Coturnix japonica: one gene and its partners. The protein of the gene in region 3 interacts with the protein of the main gene of each other region in a pairwise test. Links are inferred from orthologs where the notes say so. Each region holds a gene or a part of one and is shown on either strand. Other genes may lie near its edges.

Region 1 (4,146 bases), on a different chromosome or scaffold from region 3:
TTAGTTTTCAAAGGCACGAGTCTCCTGACCTCCATACACCAGTTCAGTTTCCTGTGGCGCTCCAGTGAAGTCTGGGTGGCTTGGTCAGTCAGGGCTTTCTGAAGCGTTTCCCGGAATTGAGGGCAAAACTGGCACATTCTGAACATTTCTATAGTGTATCTGTGCATAGTCCTGAAGTGGTGAATTATTCCACTGGGGGGTTTGACCAGATCTTCAGGTGTCCTCTCTCTAATCTTCACAGCTTTCAGCATATTGCTCTGATACAAAGCCTGAGGAAGGATGTGCTGGCCAGCCATGTTCCTAGACAAAAATCTGAAATGAAAAAGAAAAGTGTTCTCTTACTGACTTGTTAATTGCCCTTGCTCTGCAAGGTTTGCACAGACTGAGAATACACTTCCATGTGTGGAATTCTAGTTGCTGTTTTGCCTGTTAGTACACAGAGCGAATGACATCCACTGAGACTTATACCAGTTCTTATTGTTAACATTTACCTCTGTCAGCCTCTCTGCATTACACAGAGATAACTACTGAAGAGCTTATTCCACCCATTTATTGTGATCATTCATTGAACTCCTGAAGAGAGTTCATTCTTCACTAAGACGATTACATCATTGTACAAAAAAAAGGCACTTAAATGAAAGCAAGGAAAGAAAAAGGCAAGATCAAGGGAAGGGAAAACTATCTTGGAAACTTGACTAATTGATAATTGCACACTGTAACCACCATATGAACCTGCTGAACTTTCAGCACATTCCAAACTCTTGTTTTGATGACATGCCAAAAAAACAGATAATGTCCATTTCAGATTTCCACAGCTCATGCATTCTGATAAGTGATGCTGGTATGATATAAAAAGAGCCTGGATATCACACAGTGTGCTAGATTCTGTCCCATACTTACATTGGCTGGAGATGGTAAAAGAGGTATTAGTGGCAGATCAAGCACTCAGGGCCAGACCTGTGCTACTCTTCTTGCGGCTCCTTCTGTTTTGTGAGCAGAATAGCACTGCAGAGGTGCTCGTGCAATGTGTGGGGGAACAAGCTGCGGTGCCACTATTACTCAGCGGTAAGTCAACATCGCTGAAAAAGCATTTCCACTTGGCTCAAAAGCCCCAATATTTTTCCATAGTGGGACAAGCAGCATTTACTGCCCTGCATCCCTTTCTTCCATACCTCTGGCCTGATGGGCTACAGCAGGAAGAACAACAACAAAAAGCCAACCAACCCCATAACCTCGAAGTATCTGTAGTCTGAAATACTCATTCTGAGCACACTAACTCTGTGTCTCGCTGCAGCCAGATGCAGGGACCACATTCACACATCCCTCCTGTGCACTGCAGTAACACCATGAGCTATTATTTTTAGATGGAGAGACTACGTGCTGTCCATGTAGACTGCTGCTCTGCTCACACAACCAGATTTCTATCAAGCGAAATGAAGGTCTGCATACCTAACATTTAGAATCCAGTTGGTCACAGCAGGAGTGAGGATTACAAATTTAGGGACAAATACTAAGTCATACGTATAAATCAAGACCTTGATACATGCCATGCCAAGTATAGGGCGACCAGAAACAAGAGAAAGCTTCCTAACAGCTGCTTCTCATCTATCCCTAACCAATATACTTTCACACACGCCACTCACATAAACCATCCATATATTTAAATATGGGATTGAGGAATGACATATAAACATATTAACCTCTTTAATAACCACGTCTCTGCTTTGCTCGGAGACGGCCAGAGTACTGAATTCCTAAGTTACGTAAGTAGAGTCATTGAGTCAATGAGGTTTTTTTACCCAAATAAAGGCTTATCAGATGATTAATCACTACTGGCACGGACCCTTGAAGTGGTTATTTCCAGCTTTAGGTAACAAAAAGTACTGAGTCTACAGAAGCATTCACTGGAACCGTAAATTCAATGTTCTGTTCTATTCTACGGGCACATTTTCCCCTCCAAAAGTGGAAACTACTGTCTGTGGCAGTTACCTCAAACATCAATCAAGGCAACATCAGAGCAACCCTGACTATGAGAAACAAAGCAATGAAGCAGCTCAGCAGCCACAGAAGCTGACAACTCAAAGCACATTAAGGCTGTACTTGCTAACACCACACTGTGCTTCATTGCATGGCCACCCTACATGGCCTTTAAACATGTAATTACTGAGCTCCCAGGAAAAGAAAAAAGTTGCAAACAGTGCAGCACATAGTTCCCCAGCACATAATATGGAAGATGCTGGTCTTGGGGAACCCTGTGTTCCGTTCTCCAGCTCTGTCCCCTAACCGAAGAAGCCAATGGTAAACCCCTGCCGGCCGAGCACTGCAACGAGCCTAAAAGCCTCCTGCAGCCTCCAGCCTCCGTCCCTCGGAGGTGCGGGTGGCAGCAGCCCCAGCCAGGCCTCGCAGCCGGCCGCCCCCCGCTCTACCTGCAACCCCGGCCCACCGCCAGTCAACAGAGGGCACAATTCCACCGCTCGCCGCGGGACTGCTAACAAAACCTCCACAATACAGTCGGGCAGCCTCTCTCCCAGCCCGAGCATTGCTCACCTCTCGCCCGGCGGGCTCCTCCAGGCGCGGGCTCGATCCGCCGCTAAATGCCGCTCAGCAGCTGGGCCGCGGCGGGGGCACACAGTCAGGCTCGACCGCCATCAACACCCAGCCGGCAGCAGGCCCGGGTTGACCTGGCCGCTCTCGCGTCCGCCGCCCCCTCCCCTCTCCGGAGCTGCTGCCGCCGCTGCCTGCGCTGCGGAATGAAGGGCTGAGCTCAGCCTCTTGTTTTCTTTCCCCTTTCTGTTTCAGCGCATGGACAGGAAAAAAAAAAAAAAAAAAAAAAGACAACAACAAAAAAAAACCCCAGCGGGGATTTCCACCGTCAGCGCTTGGGACTTTCCGACATGTGACAACAGCAGCGCAGGCATCGCTGGCTCCACGTAGGGCCGGCAGGGGGCACCGAAGCGCTCCCTCCGCTTACAACCTCCCTGGGCAGCCTGTTCCAGGGCCTAACCACTCTCCTAGTAAAGAACTTCCCCCTAACATCCAACCTAAATCTTCCCTCTTTTAACTTAAAACCATTTCCCTGTGTCTGCTACTGTCAGCCCTTTCAAAGAGTTTACTCCCCTCCTGGGAGTAAGTTCCCTTCAGGTATTGAAAGGCTGCAATGAGGTCACCCCACAACCTTCTCTTCTCCAGGCTAAACAAACCCTCAGCCTGTAACAGGTAACAGGTAACCTGTAACAGGTTCTCATCCAGCCCTGCTCAAGGCAGGCAAGGGGCAGAACAGGCTGAGGCTATGGAGGACTTCATCCTGGAGCCACTGGCCAGTTGTGGCATCTCATACCTTTAATGGCTGCGGGCATGTAATTCGCACCTTTAAATAGCACCCTAAAGCCTGTGCAATGGAAAAAGTCTGAATAAAGCACTTAGGGCCTCTTAATAAAGCATACAGATGTGATCTCAATTGCAAATGGGCAGCTCCTTGCCTGCAAGACTTGTAACCTGAAGGCAGGCAGAAATATAATACAAAAAAGTCTTTTTTCAGTCCTAAGAGGCTTTCTCCAGATGCTGAACGCCTGCCAATTCCAGAGCACCCACAGGTCCCACTGGTTGGATGAGAAGCTGGAGTTGCCCCACACCTTAAAATCAGGCCTGTCACAGAACAGGCGGACCTGGAAAGAGCTCATACCTGAGCTTCCTTGCCTCCATTAGCATCAGCTGGCTCAGCTCGTGCCCTCATGGCATCTGTGCAACTCTGTGATGGCATGCTCCTTCTCACTGCTTAAAGCCCTGTGTTTGGCTCTGTGTGGTCCGCTGCCCTTCTATCTCTGCCTAGGAATACATAGGAAGGCTCTGCGCTTACGGATAGTCTGAGGGCTGACTGATATCCAAGGAGGCTGCGTGCCGGAGGAACTGGGTCTGAGTGATTACTTACATAACTGGGGCTGCACCCGGGGTGTGGTTTACCCAGTGGATATTGTCTGCAACAGAGAAGTCCGTTTAAAAAAGAACCTGCTATTCCCTGTTCCTGGTTGTTTTTCTTTGTAACCCTGATGTGTGCTGAGGTACTGGGATACTGAAGTGATCTGATTAGAAGCCAGCTATATATATGTATTTATGTATGTATGCATACGCACGCACATGTATATATAA
Region 2 (4,446 bases), on a different chromosome or scaffold from region 3:
CATGGTGTTCCTGTAAAGAATAGTAAACGTTACAAAGCCATACAGATAGCAAAACTATTTTAGCAACACTAAACAAATTTAAGGGACAATTTATTAAACAAAAGGAAGAGGAATTTTTTGAAGCTTGTATTGAAGGAAAGTATTTTTTCCCATAGTAACAGCAGATCGAGGGAAAAAGAAAGAACGCATTCAGTGCGCAGTGGCCCAGAGTCAAAGCAGCACAACTGCTGCCACATGTTTTCATGTTCTTCTCTTCCTTCCAAAATATTACCGCCTCTCACAATAAAACGGTCTGTTCTCGTTTTAACTGAGAATAAAAGCTGAGTGGTTGATATAAGCACAACTTTTCCCTTTAATCAGAGCGATCATTTCCAGGGAACTGTAACATGTTCAAATTTCGTCTGCCTGGAAGGGCGTCAGATCTTCTCCCCAGCATCAAAACTATCACCCTGTCAGCCTATTATCTTCAGAATCATGATTGTCTCATTCAAGATTGCTGCACAGTTCCACGTCACTGAAGTTTCTCAAGTTGATTTGCTTTTTCTTTTTACTATTTAACACATTTATTAACACCAGGCAAAAGCTGCATTGCTCTAAAATTACCTTTTCAGCCTTCAGTGTTTTTCAGCCATGTTGCTAAGCATGCTTCACATTCAAACCTACATGAGAAAGCTTGCAAGATTATCTTTCCACACAGTAGTCAACTTGCTTGAGGGAACTTGTTCCAGGATATTAATTATGTATCTGTGGAGCATCAACAAGAAGCTAATTTTGATAGCAGCTATTAATGTAGGCACATTATTTCAAAGCTTTGACTCAGACAAGAACCTTGCAATCCACAGGGCAATCCCAGGTTCAGGGTTGACGATGCACACAGCAGAGGCTGATGGCTCTAAATGCTGGGCTGTGTGCATCCATACATGCCTCTCACCTCTCCAACTGCAGGTCAGGATCCTTCAGTTAAAGCCATGTACAAGCAGAAGCTGTCAGTCACCCTTAATGCATGCACTGCCTGAACAACTGGTCTTTGTCATCTTCAGAACAAAGGTGACAGTCGAGACAGAACCTTCTGGGACAACACTAAGTGGGCACACGAAATAAAAGCAGTAGAATTCCTAATATGCTGGAGATAAGCACAACGGGTGTGCTCTTCTCCTAGTTATGTTGTTTTTCCTGAAAATTTATTGTAGGCAAATGCTGAAGCACTAAAAGTAAATAGAAGTACAAGTAGAATGCCTGAGAGATGATACCAGCACAGCAGCTGCTCTCGGCTCTGCTGAAATCACACAAGTCCTGATAAAGACTGCCAGCTTTCCAAGTTTCTGCAAGCTTCAGTGCTACAAAAACCAGCAAACCTTTGTGAAGGCAAGTTGTACCACACTGATTACACCCACAGAGCTACAAAGGTACGGCACGGCTGCAAGGACAGTGAAACCTATGCAGAAAGGAGAATCAATAACAGCACAGGGCACCTTTCTACGTATGTAAAGTTTCTGTTTGTATTTGTAACAGCTGGACATGAAAAACAAAAGCCAGTCTTTTAATGGAAAAAGGGCCTCCTTCAGCAGCAGCCTGTCTGAGACACAAACCACTTCCAGGTAACTCAGCCCTACTGCAGTGTACTCTCAGGTTTGGAAGCCTGAGGCTACCGGTCATGCATGTGATCAGGAAGAACTAAATAAATCTGCTTGTAGCAGTGCTTAGATGTTAACAGCCCAACCCAGCAGCCACCAACTGCTGCAGTCCTCCCAGCTGGGCTCAGCACAGGATTCAGCACCTGCAAGTCAACTGGTTGTTTACATTTCCAGTTTATCACTTTGTGTTGTTCACAGCTGTTAGGGCTTATAGTTCCACAGCACATCACCCCATCTTCAGCTCTAGACGAGAAAACACTTGCTGTTTGTTTTTACATCCTCTCTGTTACATTCAGGCCATCACAGCTATGTGATGCGCAGCTATTTAGTTCAGAATTCCAGCTATTTTACCTTTTTTTAAGCACACTACCGTAGTGTTGACAGCAGACCATAGATTACTGCAGTATCCTTAGTGAGTCCTCTGTTTTCCAGCCACACACATCACAGCAGCTCTCCATGCTCTGACAGACCTACAGGCCGTGGCCATTTCTTCATTCCTGAAGCCACATGACTCAGGCAGCTGAAATCCACAGCAGGCCCTCAACATCTCGAGAGCTACAACTGGCTGGAGAACCAAAGAGCCTTGTAGGACCTGGACAGATGGAGAACACCTTTTGCCAGCCAATAAGCACTGACATAAACATCAAAATGTCAACACTTCTCTTTGTGCAGCAAATCCAAGTACTTCTGCCTCTTTCAACCTTTTCTTCCAACACTGCTCTGAATTTCGTTATGGTCGTTAAGGACCAGAGCAGTTCCTCAAAGCACAAAGCTCTGTCATACCTTAGTGAGCTCCCAATGCTTATCTCTCCAAGATATAATAAATAACTAAATAAATAAAACCAAGAGACTGATAAAACCAACAGGGCAGGGCAAGGCAAAGCACTGTAAGGCGAGGTGTGGGGGTCACGAGCACCCTACACAGCAGTACACTCGGCTCTGATAGGAAACTGCAAAGACAGTTCAGTTCGGAGCAGTAAGGCGTTTTGTTCGGTATAACTGGATAATAAACATTGACTAAAAACATCTCGGAAAGTTAACGCCTGCACACACACGGCCCCGCAACGCCGCCCACACAGCGGCCTCGGTGGGAGTGAGACCCCCCGTGCCTCCCCCCCTCCGCCACGAAGCACAACGCAGCCGCTGAATGCAGCCCCCAGGTGCCTCCCCCGCTCTGATAGAGTCACCTTACCGCTCACATTCCGGCTCTTCCTCGGCTCCCGGCATCGCGGCTCGCAGAGCTGACAGCCCGGCCGGGACTCGGTGCCGAGTAAAGGAGCGGGCAGGACGCGGGGCTGTCAGGGCGGAGCTGGGAGGAGACGCTTGTGCCGCCCCCAGAGCCCGCCCCGCTCCACAGCACAGAGCCGCCCCGCAGCGCTGCTCCCCGCCTCCACCCAGCACTGACGGCGATAGAGCCGCTAAAGGCAGCGGAACAGCAACTCACAGGTGGTAACAGAATCACAGAATCACAGAGTGACCCGGGTTGGAAGGGACCTCAAGGATCATGTAGTTCCAACCCCCCTGCCTGGCAGGGCCACCAAACATACACCTTTACTACATCAGGTTGCCCATGGCCCCGTCCAACCTGGCCTTGAACACCTCCAAGGACGGGGCATCCACAACCTCCCTGGGCAGCCTGTTCCAGGGCCTAACCACTCTCCTAGTGAAGAACTTCCCCCTAACATCCAACCTAAATCTTCCAGCAGTACTGCCCGCCTGTTATTAAAGAAGCCAAATTATGGTGAGGACAGAGATGTTCAAAGACACATTTCCCAGCCATGAAGGCAGCCTAAGCAGAGGGTCAAGTTCAGCAGTGAGAATCCTGCCCTGCTTTCCTGATCCCCGTAACTATTCTTCTCACTCCACCCTCCGTGGCTGCGTGTTGTCCAACTGTTATCCTGCACAGAGATGGTGGTTTCCTTCCTAACACCGAACTCACACCTTGGCATATTTGCAAAAGCTACAACCGAGAGCAGGCGGTTTCCTTTCTGCTGATGACTAACAACTTTTATGGGAACATTCCCTGTATCAGACATTTAAAGGCAAGCAGGCTTAATGCTATTCTCACTCCTAATTATTCTGAAATGGGTATGATGTAACTCGTTTCACCAAAATGATCAAGGAGCAATGCTTACAAACCAGGCTCACATCAAGCAAAAGTTCCTCTGGAAGTGGGGCTTGAAATAGGCCCCTGCCAAATCTGTGTATGGTCACAATGCTGCCCTAGCACCCTTCAGTTCCCCTACTGCAGAGGAAATAACATTCATGGCTCACATCCACCCCAAACCTCTCTCCTCCTCCTGCAGTTCTTCCTGCATCTCTGCTGTGCTCGCCTGTCACAGAACTTGGCTGGGGCACGGAACAGTGCCCAGGTGACTGTACTACCAGGTGGGTTGTTGCAAAATAGCAGAAGCTGCAATCTCTAACCACATGCTGAATGCCTACAGGCTGCTGGAAGAAGCGCCATTATGGCTCAGGACTAAGACACAGATCCCTGTGTTCTACCCTCATCTGACATCAGCCTCACCTCTGCAGATCTATTTCCTACCTAGTTCCTATCAATTTCTCATGCAAAATGAGGATAATATCACTCGTTTATGCCATTTGCACGTCTAGTTAGTTGTGCTCTTGTGACTTTAAAAAAAATCTTGTGAAATACCAAACAACTCTAATGCATCTCACTCACACTGTCAGTATCTGGTTTCATAATCAGCCACACTGAAACCGGCTGAATCACCTGAGAAACACAGCATTGCTAAAAAGGGGTGCGGACAGAGCAGTTATAAAGGACTTAGAAAATGCCACTGAAAAA
Region 3 (4,389 bases):
GAGCCAATACAATTTCAAATTCCTTAATCATGTCATTGTCAATATTTTGTATAAAATAGGGAAAATGTAAAGATATTCAGATATCCTTCTGATTTCTATTTGCAAAATATACAGCCTGGGCAGTGTATCAAATTCAATACAAGCCCAAGGATCCTACTGATTTCTTGCAAGCAAACTGTCATGCCATACAACTTGTTCCTTTGTATAAGTTACTAACAAAATGTGCTGGTAGTAGCAGCTGACAGTATTTCCTGCACTCATGTTTTGGCTTAGACACTGTCTGTGCACATGCATGAAAAAGTGGTTGCTGATATGTGAATTACGGTTAATAGATCTGACTATAAGATGCTGAAAACCCTCCCAAAAAACACTGTGAAGAAAATAAACAAACAGAATATGGAGTCTAACATCATCTATGCACCTCCACTGCTTTATGTAGCTGAGCCATCTCACTTAAAATACACACGCAGATGAGGCTTCAGCTGTTCCCTACTCCACCTTAATAGCGATGCTTATTTCCAACAAGCACTGTTCAAGAGGAAGGTAGATTTACTTCCACTGACTGCAATCAGGGGCAGCTACATTCAGGGTTTTCAGTGCTTCAGTTCCTAACTCGATGGCACCAAAGTGCCTGTTGGCACAACCAGCTTCTTTATAGAAATCTGACCATTATTTTTGTTGCTATCAGCTCTAGCTCTGTGACCTCATGAGATCTACCAATTTTTTTCTCTCAATCAAGAATCTGAATCAAGAATACAAGCCGGCGGCTGCTCACTGAGGGTAAAAGCCATAAAAGGAAGAAAAATCAGGAAACTATAATGTTAAAACATGAAAAAAGAAAAATAAAATAAAAAAAAAAAAAGAAAAAAGTAAAAAAAAAAAGAAGTTAGAAGTGCTGAAGCCTGTGAAGATCCCGGTTCGCCAGGCCCGTGGCGCAGCCCTCCTCCTCCCACCCGTCGCTCCCGAGCCGTCCTGTGCCTCCTGTGCCTCAGGGGCAGCAGCTCGGCCCCGGGCCGCTCCCAGGCTCAGGGTCGGTACCTTTCAGTGCCAGCAGATGCTCCTGCTTGGGCTGGTTCACGTCCATGGTGCAGCCTGAGGCCCGAGCGCCGCAACCAGCCGAGAAGCGCGTAACCGCAGCGCGGGCAGAGCGAGCACCGCTGAACCCGGAAACAGCTGCTCCACACACGCCCCGTCATACACCGCCACGGCGCCACAAACTACAACCCCCACAGGGCCTTGCGCCCGCTCAGCCCACATCCCCCGTCCCGAGGAAGGCGGGTCCCGCGGGCAGCCCCGTGGCGGTGCATTCTGGGAGCTGTAGTTCTGGAGGGTGCCCAGGCGGCGGCCTCGCGGAGCACGACGGGAACTGCAGTTCCGCTCTCGGAGGAGGCGCAGGAGAGCGCATGCGCACACTGAGGAAGGGGTGCTGTCTGCGCGGCCCGCTGTGCTCCGCCCCGTCCAAGATGGCGGCCCTGGCTGTAAACAAGGCTGCGGCTGCGGCCGGGCCGGACGGCGGCCGCGGAGCTGGGAACAGCTGGGGCCCGACCGGCGCCGCCGTGAAGGTGAGGCGGGGCCGCTCGCTGCTCTCGAGCCGGTGCTCTGCTGTGCTGTGCTGTGGCGGAGGTGCCTGCTGGGCCCGGGAGGAGGCGTACCGAGCGCTCTGCAGGGTTTCCTCAGGCGGTGTGTGCCGCTGCGGTAGGGCCTCGCTGCTCCTCCATCGCACCGCGGGGCTCCGGTGAACGGCTGCGGGGCGGGAGGCGCTCGGGGAGGCCCCGGGTGGGGGCTGTGTCCCTGCTCCTCGCGGGAGGGCTGCTCCGTGCTGCTCCGTGCTGCTTCCGTTGTGTTTTTGTCTTGTTTCGTTGTCTTGTTTCCCCCCCCCCCCAGCCTGGAGACAGATGGTATCTTTTCTAAAATCGTAGGTTCTCGAGTGCGGAGTCTGTGAAGATGTGTTCTCTTTGCAAGGCGATAAGGTTCCTCGGCTGCTTCTGTGTGGCCATACTGTGTGCCATGACTGCCTGACCCGGCTTCCCCTTCACGGCAGGGCTGTCCGCTGTCCTTTTGATCGGCAAGTTACTGAATTGGGTAAGAGAGCTTAGGCCTGAATTTGTTAAGACCGAACAGAATGTTTAAAAGACCAGCAAGCCTTAACAGGAAATGTATAAAGGCTGATTTGAGTTTGTAGGCTGGCAGTGTGTGGTATCAGAATTTTTACTGTTGATAGTTTTGATTTGGCTGCAAATGGATGAGAAGGGTTTAGTACAGTAAAATGCATGGCTAGATAATGTGTGTGGATAGTACACAAAACCAAATAAGATGAATGTACTAGTTGTATTTGTTTTGCAGCATTCCTCCTGTACTCTGAAATGCTTTTTTTTTTTTTTTTTTTTTTTCCACTGAGAGGAGTGAGAGAGATCTCATTAAGATTAGGTAATAAGTTTTTATCTTCTCCTTGAATATAGGCTTGCAAACACCTTGTTTGTGAGCCTGTGTTTACAAAGTGACTGGTCTGTTTTAAATCCCTGTTTAATGATTCTTGAGAGGATATCAGTTTCCTGTTGTCCTAAACATTAAGTAGACCATACAGTTACGTAAGTTGTTTCTCTGTCAAACAAATTTGCCTGGATTCACAGTGGAATGATAACAAACCTGTTTGTAAAGTATATGGTAATTCTAAGGGTGATAGAACTTAAATTGGCAGGCTGTCTACAGGGATTTTATTACTTTAGAAATGTGTCTCAAAAGATCAGATATGGTGTTTATTCCATAGTGAGAGTTTATTTCAGGCATATGCTAGTGATTGTGCATTCAACATAGAGTTAAAGAAAGGACAAGTTACTAGAAGAATTTGTGTCAAGGTTAACTTGTGAACAGAGCTGTCTGCAGTAGCTTTGAATAGCACAGTGGATAAAAATATTAGGATGGCGGAGAATCCATGGAGCAGGAGATATCAAATGTAGTAATGCATGAAATAAATGTACAATTATCAAATCAGCATGAATACGTATTTACTTTGAAGTGATAGTCTGCTAGAGTTAAAGAAATATTAAATGGAAACAAACTCAGAAGAAACATCAGCATGATGTGAAAAAGTTTTGTTTGTGGTAGGAGAGGTGTGGATGGTATGTGATTGAAAGAGGATTGAAAGAAGTTTATTTTTTTATGTGACTGTACATCTATATGGGGTTTATGTATGTATGCTTTAATAGGGAGCGTGTGTTAGTCTTGCTGTTGTGAAACTTCAGCGTGAGCCAGCTGCTTGTATCTTGTAAATGGGGAGCAGAGCTTTTTATTGTAAGGGGGCGTTGTCACTTTGTGGCTCTTACTGTGTGATTTCCGCCTGACAATTGGAAGCATCCTACAGTAATTTTTTATTTTAGTTTCAGTTTTAACCAAAAATTAAGTTTCTTCGTCTTACGTAACAACTAGTGGTTTCTGATGGAACAATGTGAAGTGTTAAATTTGCAAGGCTTCTATAGAAAGGTAGTGGGAAGAAAAGCTGAAGCTTTCATTTCTAGGATAGTAGGCTTGCAGCTTATTGGATGGTTCTGGAAAGAAGAATGATATGTTGTGATCAGCTGTTGCTCAAAAAAAAAAAAAAAAAATTAGCAAAACAACCTGAGAGTCAAAGCACTTCTGTGAATGAAAATGTTTTGCCTGATGGTTTGAAGCAGAAGAGGGTCATGGCAACATTTCATCTAATCTGTTCTGTAAGTCCTCGGGGAATAGTAGAATCATAGAATCACCAAGGTTGGAAAAGACCTAAAAGGTCATCCAGTCCAATTGTTCACCCATTACCAATAGCTCCCACTAAACCATGTCCCTCAACACAACATCCAGTCTCCCAGGGTCTCCCCCAGGGTCCCAGGGTCGGTGACTCCACAACCTCCCTGGGCAGCCCATTCCAGTGTCTGACCACCCTTTCTGAGAAGCAATACTTAAGTCCAGCTTGAATCTCCCCTGCTGCAGCTTGAAATCATTCCCTCTAATCCTATCGCTAATGACATGAGAGGCCGACCCCCAGCTCACTACAACCTCCCTTCAGGAAGTTATAGAGAGCAATAAGGTCTCCCCTGAGCCTCCTCCAGGCTGAACATTCCCAGCTCCTTCAGCCTCTCCTCATACGGCCCCATTGTGCTCCGGACCCCTCACCAGCTTGGTTGCCCAGCTCTGAACATGTTCCAGGGCCTCAATGTCTTTCTTGCAGTGAGGTGCCCAAAACTGGACGAATGACATTGAGGATTTCAGGACATGCAAAGTCTGCAAGTAAAAATTGACAGTTTTACAAAGCCTTTTTTCTTCCAAATACTCAGGTTTGAGTTTGAGAGTAGACAAATAATTTCTAGCAGCCTTCTTTCTCTCTTCTGCTTCTTGCATGGGATTGGAGTTTTT
Region 4 (3,334 bases), on a different chromosome or scaffold from region 3:
ACAGGCTATCAAGCAGATCCAGCCTCTACCTCGTATGAAATGCTCTTATTTCTACATTACATCAGAGAGGAAAAGACAACTAAAAAGCCTTAACTGTCTTGTTACTTACCTGAGGTTTTCTGCAAACCTCCACTGGGACATGTCCAGGAATCCTGAGCTCGTATTTGAGATAAACTCATTTTGTGTTTTACACTTACCATGTAATCCTAAGAAGGAAAAACCTGGCTGAAAATCCGCCTATAAAGGGTTAGGCTGAAGGTAACGTTCAGCCTCGAAAGGTTTTGTGGTGGCAGCCCTCACTCTCACCAGCCTGCAGTGCCCTCCAGGGAAAGCACCTTCAGCTGAGCTGTTCCCCTGGTGAGGTTTTCCATCAGGACAAGAGATGATGGTTTATGTCGCCCATTTTATGAGAGCAGGACTTTGCATCAGGTATCTACATGCCATGAAAGCTGTTGCCAAACCTCACACATATTCTGACCTGTTTTAATTTTTTTCCTTTAATACTGAACCTTTTTTTCTTTTTTAAACAACGGTGTTTATTTTGTAAATCATTTTTTTTTATTTATCTAAAAATGCACAATTGAAAAAAAAAATTACCTTTTGAAATACATTTACTTATAGGCACTAATAGATTTTATGTAGCAAGACAGTGAGCGGAGCCGCTCGAGGCACTGCTGTGGTTTGAGCTGTGCTCCCCAGAGGGCAGAGCTGGGTACACCACCACCAGCACAGCCAGCCCAGCCCACTGCTGCCATGGCTTAAAGGAAACCTGCAGTGTAAAGGTGACAGTCTGGAGTCTTACACCTAAGAATTGCTAAAGAAGATGGCTCTAAATTAAACAAGTTGGCTTGGGAATGTGGGAAGCAACGTGCCGCCTCTCCTCCATTCTTGTGCTGATTTGAATTTCCTCAGGCTCTCAGGAGAGCAGCAGGCTCAGCTTCCTGCTGAGAAGCCACGATAACATGGCACCTTGCATTAATGATACCAACAGACATCATTCATAGCAATTAGTAGCTTTCCTTGCTACCCTATGAAATACACAAAATTTGGTGGAAAGTAGTTGAAGACGGCACTGCAATTTTCCTTTAAGTAGAGAAAAATCAAGTTAAAAATCCACTAAAAGCATATATGAGTATATAACCTTCTAACCCTAACCTTATTGAAGGAAAAAAAAAAAAAAAAGTTCAGGTTTTTATTCATTTCTTGAAGAAAACCAAAAGAGGCAGAGGCTGCCCTGGGACTGCAGCACACAGACTGCAGCTCAGCAGCAGCAAAGCAGCGCTGCTTCCACTCTGTGCCACCTGCACTGCTCTGCACTGCTCTGCACTGCTGCCCCCCAGCACAACCACTGCACTGTGAGGTGGGGCCGCTCCTGAAGCAGGCAATGTTTGTCACTGGCAGTAATGAAACAAACCATTGATTCAATGAATGAATTTAGTTGGTTTAAAGTTTTAATTCCAAGATGACGACCCCTCCTAATCAGCTTGAGATTTTTATAAAAATTCACATTCTAAATCAGCTTTCACAGTTAGTTAAATAGATGGGGCTGATCCTTGTGTGGAATACGATACACAGCCTTTGACTGACTTGGTTTCTGTACGTCTCAAATAGTTTAAAACACTGCTTTGCTTAAAGTTCTACCTACTGGTACCTAATATACTACTGAATGTGTACAGGCATCTTCCCAAAAACCCAGCTGGGGGAAAGAAATGCTGCTTTTCCAACAACCTGCAGTCTCACACGACTCGGGACAAACAGGTGCTCAGAAAGGCCCCATGAAGCACGCTTCTGTGGGGTGGTTTGCACAGGATTTGTGGGTTTTCCTCCCCAGCTGTACACTGCATTCAGCTCAGGGGCTGAATTAACAGCCCAACGCAGCGGCAAAATACTCTCACTTTAAGTTTTCAGTTAAAAAAGAAAAAAGAAAAGTCATGAAACAAATGCATTTCTACCCCCTCCCACCCCCCCCAAACCCCTCCCAGTTCTAAGTCTGAAGGAGGGAATTAATAAAAACACATAAATGGATGCTTTAAAATACACAAAGTAAAAACTGAAATTTGCTATAAACCATTTGCGGAAGAGGCAAAGTAGCAGTTATACAAACAACACAAAATCTACTGAAATTCTTACATTAGTATAAAGTGATTTCACTGAAGGAATTATTTCAATATTTCACATTACAGTTAAGATAGAGGAGGTGTGCCCAACACTGACACCCCAGTTAATATCATCTATCCTAGATTACACACGACAGTTTAAGAAAAGACCCTTAAATGATCTACACCTGTAACATCTTATTGGCTTAAAAAAAAAAAAAAAAAAAATCACTTGCAATACCTCACAGAATCTTCACTTTAAAGCATGACCACCTTGTGAGAGTCCTTGTCAAATAACCTGCAGAGATAGGGGAGCATCTCGCTACAAGCCGCTCCTCCCCTCACCCGCTGACTGGGCACCAGTCGGTTTCATCTGAGAAAAAAAATTCAAGTAAGACTAAGCTGTGCTGGCTTTTGAGAGTGTCTGCAGATGGTTCAGGTGCTGGAGGTCCAGACATGCATTTGTTTTGCTATTTGGTGCACGTAACCAATGTCGGGTCTTTGATCCGGATCAGGATATATGCACATGCTGACCAGCTCCCGGAGCTGAAAGACAGAAAGACATTGGAACAAGAATGGATCATTTCTTACTGGCCGAGGATCTGGGGTTCCCCAGATGGGAGCTGTTGTGGCTGATGCTGCTCACTTCTTTCCACCCCACCTCTACGGAAGAACCACAGTTAATCTGTACACATCTTAAGACAGGATGCCAGAACATGGCTGTCAGACCCCAGCACTTCCTCGAGAACCTCTGTGAAGGAGAGAAACCGGCCATTGATTATGTTTAATAAATAAAATGCAGAAGGGCTCAAGTACCCCCCACCTCCCTACCCTCTTTATTGTGCACATGAAAGATTGTAGCTTTTAATTATACAGACACTGAAAGCTGCTCGTACCCCCGAGGCATTGGGAGAAACAGCCTTGAGCCTCTGATCTTCTCACATCCTCCCAGTAGCCACAGTGCCAATTATTTTAATGGTAATTAAAAGCATGACCCTACAGCTATCAAGCACACAGTTCATCTGCATTACTGAATGCACCCAAATGAGGCCGCAGCTCTGCTTCCCGAGTGCAGGGTCGCTGCGGGGCCTGAAGCCACCCCAGCAGGAACTGGCAGACCCGACCTCAACATGCAGCCCCAACCGGTGCCAACAATTACCAGCACACTTGTTTCTGAGCCAGAAAACGAATCTGTTTCTGCTCCTCCACTTCATCATGAGATCTAGATTGGAGAAAAG
Region 5 (4,221 bases), on a different chromosome or scaffold from region 3:
TTGTCCTTTGCAGATGAAAACAAAAGAGTGGAAAAATCATTAGTTGTGGCAGAAAGTTACTTGCCTACTCATGCAATCTTGAAGGGAATCAGGCAAAATGAGAGGTGTGATTTACTTAGCATCTCTTTAAAAAAACTCCTAAACTTTTCTATAATTAAACCATGCCTAGTTAACAAAGAAACCAAGGCTTCTGATTATATTGTGCGTATGCTAAATCCCTCTCTTTTATTGGCCTAACAAATGGACCAAGAATTAACCCAAACTCACCTGGAATTTATCCTTTAAAATCATGATGACAATCTCAAATGGCTTTCCTTTTTCAAAAGGCATATCATAAGTGATTTCTTCCCAGCCCCATTTTTCCCTCTCCAGGGTGTTGCAAACAATGCAGCCAGACCATTTGAAGCGAGGGTTAAAATGAAAGGCCACATCAGCTCGAGGCTTTATGCTGCTGCCACACTGTAAATCCACCTGGAACCTAAACATAAAAATAAAACAAATCGCATTTAGTTCATTCTGTCAAGAAATCATATACAAGTTCAACTGATAACCTCTTCAGATAAATATGCATGTGCCATGTGGAATGACATGACAGAAAAATAATGCCAAAGCAGACAAAGCAAAACCATGGAAGAAGATCAATGGAAAGCAAAAAACCAGTTTATCCTCCAGTTTTCATCACAAAACTTTCATAAACCACTTAAGGTTGTATCCTCTGTGACACTATTGCTTCATCTAAAAATGAAGTCTTTGTCTGCCATCCATCACAGGACACGTGGAAACATTTTCTTAATTACAGGCTTGTTCACCTTATGTTAATTCACAAAGTGATACTGTAGTTACTACCTGTCTGCATCATCAGGAACATTCCCATGTATCACAATCAGCTCTCCAGGAACAATGCCACCAAGAATCGTCCCGACATAGGGAATGACCTAGAAGAAGGAGGGAAAAAAGACAGAAATAACCATTTGTGACAGAGGCAAAATAAATATATAGTTTTTTAAACAATATTTTTGATAATTAAGTGATGCTCTAGCACATTAAAAGAAAGACAACTAGTATTCCATTTAAATGAAACACTAGTAAAGCATTAAATATCTGCCACGAAGAGAAGGAAAAACCAAGATTTTCATCACTGAAGATCAGCCTTCTCAGATAAGATTAAAGCTAAACATTTACAGTCTTCATGCCTAGCTCTCTAAAGAATAATGGCAATATTTTACTGCTCCACTTTTAATATAGAATTCCCCTTCAAATTAGGTCATTGTCAAGGACTAACTACTGCTGGTTGCAGGAGGCATCTTGCACCAGTTTTTTAACACTAGACTACAGCTGCTGTCTCTTTGCTTGCTCTTTTTTGAAAAACTGTGATTGGAAAAGCAGCAACTCTGGTGGAGAGTATCACAGAATCACAGAATTATCAGGGTTGGAAAAGACCTAGAAGATCATCCAGTCCAGCCATTACCAATACTTCCTGGCTAAATCATATCCCTCAACACAACATCCAAACGTTTCTTGAATACTCCCATGGTTGGTGACTCCACCACCTCCCTGGGCAGTGCATTCCAATGCCTGACTACCCTTTCCGAGAAGTAATACTTCCTAATGTCCAGCCTGAATCTCCCCTGGCGCAGCTTAAAACCATTCCCTCTAGTTCTATCACTGATTACACAGAATGGGAATGACAAAAAAAAAATCTCCTAAATCCAGAGCGTTGTTCATTTCCATCTTCTCCCTTTCCTTCCCTTCTCAGCTACCCACATATTGCACCTTTCTTTGCAGTCACCTTTTACATTAGAGATAATACAGACCTACTTCACAAGTATAAGCTTGAAACTGACCAAACTGTTTAAAGACTTGTGGATTTTACTGGCTTAGCCAACTGCAGTAGAGGAGGATGAGAACATAAAATTAGGCAGTATAAGTGAAATAACAAATAAACTGATTGAATCAATTTACTTACTAGCAGTAGTGTAGGAGCTTAGTTCCATAGTCTACAAGCTGTACAAAAGACACTCAATTTCATCCAAATAATAATACGTAAGAAAGAATACATTCTGCATATTTTCTGCACATCATGCAGTTTAAACACACTGCTTGCTCCTGAGGGGCAGTAGCTTTGAGAATCACAGCAGGGTATAAGTTACTGGTTCGGTCTCCAGAGATGAACCAATAAGAAACACACAGACACAGCCCAGGAACACTGGGATTTGAATACTCCAGTGGGTCAAAGTTATTTATACACTGTATACACTGTTATACACTGTATACTGTGTACACTGTTATACACTGTATACACTGTTATTTAACACTGTAGCAAGGATACATTTAATAGAGAAAAAAGTCAGCCATCTCTTGTCCAGAAGCTCAGTCATGGAATCTGCATGGCCATAATAGAGCATTTCCTGGGCGTAATACTACAGACCTAATGACCATCATTACAGAATGTGCTTGTCATTTCTTCACGTCTCAAGAGCTGTGCTAATTTTAACTCATCTATTAAGAATAATGCTTGTGCCACTACTTGATTCCATCCCAACTCTCTCACAAACCTCCAGAAGTTCCCCATGAAGCCAACTAGCCAACACTAACTCAGTTTGAAAGGCCTCAAAGACCAATTTGCAGACTTTGTCTGGAGCCTGGAACAACTTTTCACACCTCTGTCTCCAAATAATTGCTCTTATTCTCCCCCAGGCTCTTGATGCCTAAGCCCCAATAATACTCCTTTATGTTCTCCAGCTTGGTTTTGTCACCCACCATATTCACCAGACCACTTACAGTCAACCAGTTTTGCTGAACTCCTCCTCTTCTCCTTACACAGACAATGTCACCTGTACATTTACTGATCCTCTTCACATCTCCCTTTTGCAATTCAGTCCTTACAGCTCTATTTCCATCTCCACACATCCTTCCTTCTTCCCCCAGATGGATTCTTGTGAAGAAACCTAAAGCCATTTCCCCATCATCTATTAGTCTATCCATTTCACAAGCAACAAACAAGCAGTGGAACTGAACAGTCAGATGCACTTGAGGGCACTGGACTGTATCAGTGCAGAACTACAAGAGAAAAGGAAGTCCTGTACAGTTACGTAGCACTGTTTATTCCACAGAGATTCTATACAGACCTAGTGGTGTTGCTTTTTTTTTAATATTCTGTGCTAGAAGTATGACAAATAACCATCTCCTGAAGGCTCAAAAGAACTGTTTTTAAAGAACAATGAGAAGTAGAGCTCCAGCCCATTTCTCATGCCAGTGCAAGGCCACTGCTGCAGAGTACAAGTAGAGAAATACTACAGCCACCTATGAGGATTTTCCTCACACACCCAAGCAACATCAAGAGCTCTCAGTAACACTCTGAGCCATAGGAATGCCCTGCTAATTTCTGACATTAAAGAGCAAAGTTCCATTTCCTGGGGGAGGAGTTGTTGACATAAGAGTTACCGGGTTACTGATATTCTTCTGCAGTCCATCCAAGGACATCATCTTCCCTCCTCCAGTTCAAGTCAGCCAGTCCTGTGTGACAACTCTTAGAGCGTATTCAGATGTTCACTGATCTGGCTGCTCCAAAGCGTGGACCCTTTGAAAAGCCAAAAGTTTTAATCAGAAAAACAAAAGTAGAACTACATGAAGTTAAACTCTTCAAAGTATAACTTTAAATATATTTCCAAGAAATTTGATCATGTTTTGAAACATCAAAGCTAAATGCTTGGTTTAAGCATCACTGAATCACAAGGTTGGAAAGGACCTGCAAGATCACCTAGTCCAACTATCCTCCCATCACCATTGCTACAACAAGCTACTAAACCATATCTTGTAGCTCCTCATCCAGATGCCTCTTGAACACTGCCAGGGACAGCAACTCCACCACCTCCCTGGGCAGCCATTCCAGTGCCTGACCACTCTTTGAGAGAAAAAGTTTTTCCTTATGTTTAATCTAAACCTCTTCTAGCACAACTTGTGGCCATTTTCTCAGGTCCTGTTTATTGCCTGGGAGAAGAAGCCAAAACCCACTGAAGAAGTATCGTGCTATTCTAGCAAGCGATACTGCACACAAGGTACACAGCTTTTTACCAGCTGCTTCCTGACATTGTGTATACTGAAACAGAACCCTGTATAAAAATCACTACTGCATGGGGCAACACAAATAACCCTCATCTGGGCCTTAATTACTCTCCATTTGCAGCTGACCCCTACCTGCAGCCCATGAAAAGAGATATG
Region 6 (3,193 bases), on a different chromosome or scaffold from region 3:
TCCCACCTGGGTGCCAGCTCTACACAGCACACAGCCGTGGGATGGGGGCTGCCCTGTGGGTACAGCAATGGGGGGCACCCGGGGGGGCTCAGAAAGGGGGGGATGGGTCCCAACACACAGCGCCCACCAAGGGAGGGGCCACAACGCAGCCCCTGTCTGTGCCCAGCCACAGCTATGGGGACAGTGAGAAGGATGGGGGGGATGGGGACCCCAATGGAACCCCATTGTGTGTCTGTGGGGCGGGATGGGGACCCCAATACAACCCCATTGTGTGTCTGTGGGGTGGGATGGGGACCCCAATACAACCCCATTGTGTGTCTGTGGGGCAGGATGGGCACCCAACACAACCCCATCATGTGCCTGATCATCCTGCCCACCCCCATGGGGCGTTCCTTAACAGCCCCAACCCACAGGGAGCCCCCATGGGGAGGGGTTACCCCCCATCACCCCACACTCAGCCTCCCCCGATCCCCCCCCACCCCATTGCCGCCCCCCAACACACACACACAGCACGCAGTGTTTCCACACTCAATTCTTTTTCTCTATAAGTTGGGGGGGGACACAGCAGAACGAGCTGCAGTGGCTCAGCTTCCAAACACCAGACGGCTGCTGGGGGGGGTCTCACAGCCCAGGACCCCACTGGGGGGGCTCCCTGTGGGCTCAGTGTGGCAGCTCGTGGGGGATGAGTTTGTAGTGGGAGCCGCAGGACGGGCAGCGCTGCGCCTCCCCCTTGTGCAGCCAGAACCAGATGACGCAGCTGTTGTCCTCTTCACCTGAGGAGAGAGAACAGGGGGTGGGAGGGAGATAAAGTGGGGGGGGGAGATAAGGGGCCATATGGGGCCACATGGGGCCACTCACAGACGCAGCCCACGATGCGTTTATTGGTGATGGACGGCACAAGGTTGGGATCCTCCTTGGTGCCCGCGTAGCGCTTCGGCCGGAACATGCTCCAGGGGTCCTGGGGAGGGAGGGGTCAGAGGGAGGCCCACCCCAACAACGGCAGCCACATCCCATCCCATCCCCATCCCAACTCATCCCATAATACCCTCCATCCATCCCATAATACCCCCCATCCATCCCATAATATCCTCCCATCCATCCCATCCACCCCATAACATCCAATCCCATCCATCCCATAATATCCCATCCCATCCCATCCTATCCATCCCATCCCATCCCCATCCATCCCATAATATCCCATCCCATCCCATCCCATCCCATCCCATAATATCCCATCCCATCCCATAATATCCCATCCCATCCCATCCATCCCATCCCATAGTATCCCATAGTATCCCATAGTATCCCATAGTATCCCATTGTATCCCATAGTATCCCATAGTATCCCATTGTATCCCATAGTATCCCATCCCATATATCCCATCCATCCCATATACCCCATCCATCCATCCCATAATATCCCATCTATCCCATAATATCCCATCCCATACATCCCATCCCCATCTCCATCCCATCCCATATACCCCATATACCCCATATACCCCATATACCCCATATACCCCATATACCCCATATACCCCATATACCCCATACACTCACCAGTCCTTTATTCATCGCCTCCATCACTTTCCGCTCCAGTCCCGTCGCCTGCTCCTCATCCGTGGCCAGGTCACCTGCGGGGCAGACGCTCAGTGCCTCCATCCATCCATCCCATCCCATCCCATCCCCATCCCGTCCCGTCCTTACCGGGCGCTGCATAGTGCCGGCTGATCACGCTCCTCCCGGTGGCGGCGGGCAGAAGCCGCAGCGCCGCGCCCACCCGCAGTAACCTTGACGCCATGGCGGCACTCAGCACTTCCGGAGATGGAGGAGGAAGCGGAAGTTGCGAGCCGGAAGCGGAAGTTTAAAACCGGAAGGGCGGGGCCTCAAAGGGCGGGTTGGGGGGGGATGCGGCCCTTAGCAACGGGGGGATGGAGATACGGCCATAGCAACGGGGCCTGCACCAGCGGCCACGCCGGGCCCATAAGGCGGCGGTGCCAAACCCCGCTGATCCGAGCCGCATTAATGCGGCCCTTCGTTAATATTGCAGTACAGATCGATGGCTGCGGGGGGAGGGGGGTTAATTAATATGGGGGGGTTAATTAACTGCAGGGGGGGGATTAATGGACATAGGGTGAAATGGAGATTGATTTGGGGTGTGATGAGTGGGGATAGGGGGGAAAATGGGGGAAATAGGGGGAAAATGGGGGAAATGGAGCAGAAAATGGTAGAAAAATGGAGGAAAAGGGGCAGAAATGGTAGAAAAATGGAGGAAATAAAAGGAAATGGGGGAAAAGGGGCAAAATTGGGGGAAAATAGGGGGAAATGGGGGGAAATGGGGGAAAAGGGGCAGAAAATGGGGAAATATTGGATATAAGTGGGAAATATGGGGGTAAATGGAAAATACTGGGATATAAATGGGAAATATTGAATGTAAATGGGAAACATTGGGGTATAACTGAGATATCTTGGGGTATAGGTGAGAAATATGGGATATATATGGGATATAATGGGGTATAATGGGATATACTGGGATATAATGGGATATATGGGATATAATGGGATATAATGGGATATAATGGGATATAATGGGGTATAATGGGATATACTGGGATATAATGGGATATACTGGGGTATAAGTGGGAAATACGGGATATAAATGGGAAATATTGAATGTAAATGGGAAATGCTGGGTTATAAGTGGGAAATATTGGGATATAAATAGGAAATATTGGGATATAAATAGGAAATATTGGGGTATGAGAGGGAAATATTGGATGTAAATGGGAAATATTGGGATATAAGTGGGAAATATGGGGATATAAGTGAGAAAATGCTGAAGAAGAAGAAGAAATATGGGGGAAGGAGAGAGAATATGGAGGAAAAAGAGAAAATGAAGAGGAAAGAATAGGAAGTATTGGAAAAGAAGGGAAAATATGGGGGAAGAAGAGAAACTATTGGAGGGGAAGAGAAAGTTTGGAGAGGAAAAGAGGCAATTTAGGGGAAAAAGAGGAAAATATTGGGGAAGAAAAGGGAAAATATGGGAGGAGGAGAGGAAAATATGGGAGAAATAAAGGGGATGTGGAGGAGAAGAGAGGGAAGATGGAGGCAGCAATGTGGGCGCGTGCCAAGGGAGGAGGGCAGGGGGTGGTAAAGGGGGGGGGGCAGGGGCGGCCCCATATCCCCAATCAGC
Region 7 (4,374 bases), on a different chromosome or scaffold from region 3:
CCGCACTCTCTCTGTCTGCAAGGTGCAGCAGTTACCTCATTCCATAGAAGGCACGACAGCTGTTCCTCAGTTTCCCACCAGCACAATACAGCAGCTTTCCTCCCTACAGGCCTGTATCAGCCTCATGGAAGGGGCTGTAAACTGCATTAATTCTGCAGTATGGAAAGAACATGAGTATAATACACCTTATTGCATTACAGCTACCCTGCTGAGTGCCAAGTGATGCCACAGCAGCAGCGATGGGGTTGGGGTTCCCCCACTGTGGGGTTTTTTGCTCACTCTTTCCATAAAGAAAGGCTTTGCCACTCCACCAATTTGTGGTCGTCTTCCAGCTCAGTCAATTTGCAAGACTTGAAAAGAAGAGGTGATGCACACAAGGGACCTGGCAGCGCTCGTCCCTCCCTGTGGTTCTTGCTAAGGCTCCACCAATGGAGAATAGTTCAGGGCTAGGAATAAACATTTGTAAGCAACAGCTTTCCTGCTAATTGGTTTTGTCTGAGTGAATACTCCCTCAAGTTACAACACGACCAAGGCTCCTTGTCAGGAGAAACTTGCACATGTGTATGATTCATTGATAAAGCCCTAAATCCTGTGGGCTTAGCAGCAGCAGAATCAGCACAGGGCAAGCACAGACCTTACCAGAACAGCACGAACACTCTGGGAGAGAAATCAAACACCATTTAAATCCTAGGTGAAGGTTCCTCCACCCAGCTCTGCTTGCCTACGTACAATCAAGGTGGTGTAGGTTCATCTAAATATAGGGAGAAGCTTTGTCTGGTTCCAGTCAGGCTGCAAGGCGAAGATGGCATTGCATGAGAACACCAAAAACTGTGCAAGGAGAGACAGAAAAGCTCTAAAAAAAGAGATGTTCCTCCAGCTTTATGAGTTAAACATTCTTAGCACTGTAAACTGTTCTTCTGAATTACGTGTAACTCAAGAATTTCCAACAGTGGGTACTTGTACGTGCCTGTTCACCACATCAGAGCTCTTGGGCTGTGATTAAGGCTGGGATCCAGCAGGTCTGGGTGCCCTTCCAGCTCCTGCCATGGGCTGGCTGTAACTTTAGGCAAATTGTTTTATGTGACCGCTTTATGGGTCTCCTTTCTGTCATCTCTCCTTCCCTGTCTGGATAGACCACAAGGTCTCCAGCCTGAGGAGAACTGAATGTAGTGGGACCCTGACATTCACTGGAGCAAGTGGGATAATGGTGCATCCACCCAGAAAGCAAACTTGAGTGAGAATTCAGGCAAACAAAAGTGGAAGACTTTCATTAGAGAGAGCACTGGTTCACACGCCAGTCCCATCTCTTTAGATGTCCATCTTTTGAGACGACTGCAGTAACACTTCAGGGAAAAAATTAATCGCTCTATGTTTGCACTAAGTTGTATTTTTCATCATCTAAGCTTCAAAAGACTTTTCCTACAGGTGGGGCTCAACATCATTATCTCCATAACAGAAAATACAAACAAGAAAGCAGAAGCTCACACCGGGGAGCTGAGATCACAGTTTTCTGTTGTAACCACAACCTTGAGCAGTACTGATCTGTATGCCTTCCCAACCACCTCCCTTGCATCCCAGGATTATATTGCAGCCATGATTTTAGGAGAGGCCATAGGATAGAGAGAAAAAGCTCTGTAGTGACATTGAGTTCCATTGGAAAGATAATTAGGGGGGGAAAAAAAGCAATTAGAGAAGTGTTATGTTACCTCTTTGCCTGCTTTCTCGATCTCCACCGTCACTGTGCTGTGGTTCTTATGCTCCTGGAACATGCAGAGGTAGCAGATACACATCTGGTCTGTCTGACAGAACAGCTCCATGGTCTTCCCATGCACAGGGCATTTTCTTGCTTCGAAGTCCCTGATGGGGTCGAGGAGCTGATGGTCCCGGAAAGCTGCTCCCTCCAGATGAGGCTTGAGATGCAGCTCGCAGAAGGAAGCCTGGCACACCAAACATGACTTGACGGCCTTTTGCTTGTTATCGATGCAGGAATCGCACAGCACATCCTCCAGCTTCACCCTGGGCCGTGAGCCAGCTGCTCTGTCAGGCACCTTGTTGAAGGTGGGTCTTCTCAGGTCTCCCGTCTCCACCAGAGGCATGGATGGTTTCTTCATGTCCCCTATCTGCCCACTGGAGAACAAGGGCTTCCTCCCTTCCCCTTCGTTAGGCAAGAAGCTCTTTTTGGAATCCAAGTTGAAGAGGGACTTCCTGAGGTCGCCCTTGTCTGCAAAGGAGAGTGGGGTTCTCCTCATGTCTCCTATCTGTCCGCTGGCAAATGGCATCTTCTTAGAGTCTGTCGAGTCCATGCTGAAGTAGGTCGATCTCTTCTCATCGGACGACTCCACAAACTGAATGATGGGCCTCTTCCAGTCACTCCCAGAGAAGAGAGAGCTCTTGATTTGTCCGGTCTCCAGGGAGGTACCTCCAGTGCCCTTTATTGGCTCTTTCTCGCCTCCGCTAGGATTCGTCGTCTTCTTCACTTCTTCATCCTTCTTGGGGGCGGACGGACTCTTCACATCCTCTGGCTTCCCAGCAGTGCCATTTGTCCTTGCTGCACTCCCTGTTTCCATCGTCAAACCAAAGCAGGTTGGCTTCTTAGCTCCTCGGCTCTGTCCTGTCCCCCCAGTGCTGTTCCCCCGACCCCTGGAAGCAGCTGTGGCCGTGTGCCTGTCTGCTGGCCGTCCCAATGAGGAATGACGGGGGAATGCAGGGAAGCTGCTGCCCAAATGACGCACCTGGAGCTCCTGCAAGGAGGAGGAGATGAGCTCTGGATAATGCTAGGTAGAGGCAGGGAGAAAGAAGGAAAGAAAGGAACAGACGTTACCAGGGATCAGAAGCCACAGCTGTGCAGTTAATTATACAAGGCGGTCCACACCCAGCAACATTCTTGTCTAACCAGGTTTGGGAGGAAGGGCTGTTTATATACATAGAAATGCTCAGGAAGAAAAAAAAAAGAAAGAAAGAAATGATTTTCATTAAGATGCAGTAACCAGTTCGACCGCTTGTTTCAAAAATAAGTTTGCCAGGAGCTGAGGTTACCTCCTTGCTGAGATGGGCAGGGTCAGAGAGACCATGGGATGCCGAGGATGGGTTTGTTAACTGGGTCATACACATGTACAGAAATAATTATGGTCATCATTCAAATGAATGCCTAGAATAAAGCATTCTTAAACCGGGTTCCCCCGAGGGCTTGCTGCATTCAATAGAACAGGGAGGGGAAACACGGGGATAATACTAGGCTTAAAAGACCCCTATTATCTTTATTTTGATGATGATGTTGGGTTTGTGTCAGATCCATCCATCTACAGCTGGAAACAACCAATGTTTTCCAACCAGAACACAGCTGACCCGAAATATAAGTCAGCCAGGAGCTGTGTTCTCCTGCAGGCCATGCAAACACAACTTATGTGACAAATAGAAGAGCCCACCCAATGCCCATTTCATTGCATGTTCTCAGTGCAACACAAGTGTTCCTCCCATAAACATGCACTGAACTGAGAGACATATCTGAAAGGTTAAGTATATTGCAGATAGATGGACAAAATGCTTCTTGCAAGAAGAAAGAACTGCAAGGGAGTTTTAAACATATGCCTTTCTCCCTCCATTAGCCATATTGCAATCCAAAAGAAAGATATTCAAGTGTCATATCAAGCAACTTTGGTAGTTTTCCTTCTTCTCTTCCCTGGCTTCCCCTTCATTTTCCATTTCCCCATTGAGAGGGCACAGCGGAAGGGAGAAACAGCAAAATTATTTCAAAGCTCATGAAACGCTCCTTTCATTAAGGGAAAGGAAAAAAAAAAGAAAGAGAGAAGTCCACACCCCATAATGGTTTTTATTCAGCCAACTGGAATGACAGATTTCAGAAGAAAAAGGCCCTTTATCAGCCCTGCTGAATTCCATCAAGTTCAAAAGAAGGAGGTGGACCCTACACCCATTTCACATCAATGTAGCATAGATTATACTCTGAACTTCAGTGAGATTGCTCTGAGATTAACATGCAGGCTGGAAATTAACCCTGCCCAGTATTTGATTTGTACTTAATTTGATTTTTGCTGGGTAGGATGGTGTCACTGGTTGAGTATGAGATTATTTTCTTTGCTGTAATCATTTCTCATTGGGAATCTGTAGCAAAACCACTATTGGAAGGGTGCTAAGCAGCAGAGGAAGAATCCAGGTCTGTGTTTTGCAGCTCTCTTTTAGGTGTGGAGGAAGTGGAGGTGCAACCCCAACAGGAACAGCCTGCGTTTTGGATCTGATATGAGATACCCAGGAAGCGCCTGTCTTATAGATAAGGTTAATAAGGGCTTTGTCCATGCAAAAATGAAAGGGAAGAGGAATGAAAAAATTATTCAACTGAACTTAGAACCTTATTCAGCC

The links.
Region 1: the proteins of TRIM23 (region 3) and TNFAIP3 interact in binary tests that used the Homo sapiens proteins (3 or more experiments, as listed by UniProt). The two-hybrid records come from large-scale screens. The link is inferred for Coturnix japonica from reciprocal best matches to the Homo sapiens genes TRIM23 and TNFAIP3.
Region 2: the proteins of TRIM23 (region 3) and ARHGEF3 interact in binary tests that used the Homo sapiens proteins (3 or more experiments, as listed by UniProt). The link is inferred for Coturnix japonica from reciprocal best matches to the Homo sapiens genes TRIM23 and ARHGEF3.
Region 4: the proteins of TRIM23 (region 3) and NEK6 interact in binary tests that used the Homo sapiens proteins (3 or more experiments, as listed by UniProt). The link is inferred for Coturnix japonica from reciprocal best matches to the Homo sapiens genes TRIM23 and NEK6.
Region 5: the proteins of TRIM23 (region 3) and LGALS8 interact in binary tests that used the Homo sapiens proteins (3 or more experiments, as listed by UniProt). The link is inferred for Coturnix japonica from reciprocal best matches to the Homo sapiens genes TRIM23 and LGALS8.
Region 6: the proteins of TRIM23 (region 3) and cytochrome c oxidase subunit 5B, mitochondrial interact in binary tests that used the Homo sapiens proteins (3 or more experiments, as listed by UniProt). The two-hybrid records come from large-scale screens. The link is inferred for Coturnix japonica from reciprocal best matches to the Homo sapiens genes TRIM23 and COX5B.
Region 7: the proteins of TRIM23 (region 3) and TRIM29 interact in binary tests that used the Homo sapiens proteins (3 or more experiments, as listed by UniProt). The link is inferred for Coturnix japonica from reciprocal best matches to the Homo sapiens genes TRIM23 and TRIM29.

What each region holds. Positions count from the first base shown.
Region 1 is NC_029518.1:49,374,743-49,378,888, forward strand, and holds the start of TNFAIP3 (tumor necrosis factor alpha-induced protein 3), read right to left. Parts: upstream 2,923-4,146; 5' UTR 2,548-2,922; intron 313-2,547; 5' UTR 297-312; coding exon 1-296. UniProt on the Homo sapiens protein: Ubiquitin-editing enzyme that contains both ubiquitin ligase and deubiquitinase activities.
Region 2 is NC_029527.1:6,265,067-6,269,512, forward strand, and holds the start of ARHGEF3 (rho guanine nucleotide exchange factor 3), read right to left. Parts: upstream 2,956-4,446; 5' UTR 2,862-2,955; coding exon 2,827-2,861; intron 1-2,826. UniProt on the Homo sapiens protein: Acts as a guanine nucleotide exchange factor (GEF) for RhoA and RhoB GTPases.
Region 3 is NC_029547.1:14,354,254-14,358,642, forward strand, and holds the start of TRIM23 (E3 ubiquitin-protein ligase TRIM23), read left to right. Parts: upstream 1-1,425; 5' UTR 1,426-1,463; coding exon 1,464-1,562; intron 1,563-1,919; coding exon 1,920-2,082; intron 2,083-4,389. Other genes in the region: TRAPPC13 (trafficking protein particle complex subunit 13), read right to left, coding at 1,039-1,084.
Region 4 is NC_029532.1:7,853,553-7,856,886, reverse strand, and holds the end of NEK6 (serine/threonine-protein kinase Nek6), read right to left. Parts: intron 2,643-3,334; coding exon 2,532-2,642; 3' UTR 536-2,531; downstream 1-535. UniProt on the Homo sapiens protein: Protein kinase which plays an important role in mitotic cell cycle progression. Required for chromosome segregation at metaphase-anaphase transition, robust mitotic spindle formation and cytokinesis.
Region 5 is NC_029518.1:33,916,874-33,921,094, forward strand, and holds the start of LGALS8 (galectin-8), read right to left. Parts: upstream 2,990-4,221; 5' UTR 2,986-2,989; coding exon 2,782-2,985; intron 936-2,781; coding exon 847-935; intron 479-846; coding exon 268-478; intron 1-267.
Region 6 is NC_029537.1:873,202-876,394, reverse strand, and holds cytochrome c oxidase subunit 5B, mitochondrial, read right to left. Parts: upstream 1,830-3,193; 5' UTR 1,802-1,829; coding exon 1,708-1,801; intron 1,635-1,707; coding exon 1,561-1,634; intron 959-1,560; coding exon 859-958; intron 774-858; coding exon 661-773; 3' UTR 520-660; downstream 1-519. UniProt on the Homo sapiens protein: Component of the cytochrome c oxidase, the last enzyme in the mitochondrial electron transport chain which drives oxidative phosphorylation.
Region 7 is NC_029539.1:3,276,011-3,280,384, reverse strand, and holds the start of TRIM29 (tripartite motif-containing protein 29), read right to left. Parts: upstream 2,879-4,374; 5' UTR 2,822-2,878; exon of another isoform or gene 2,742-2,821; 5' UTR 2,568-2,741; coding exon 1,707-2,567; intron 1-1,706.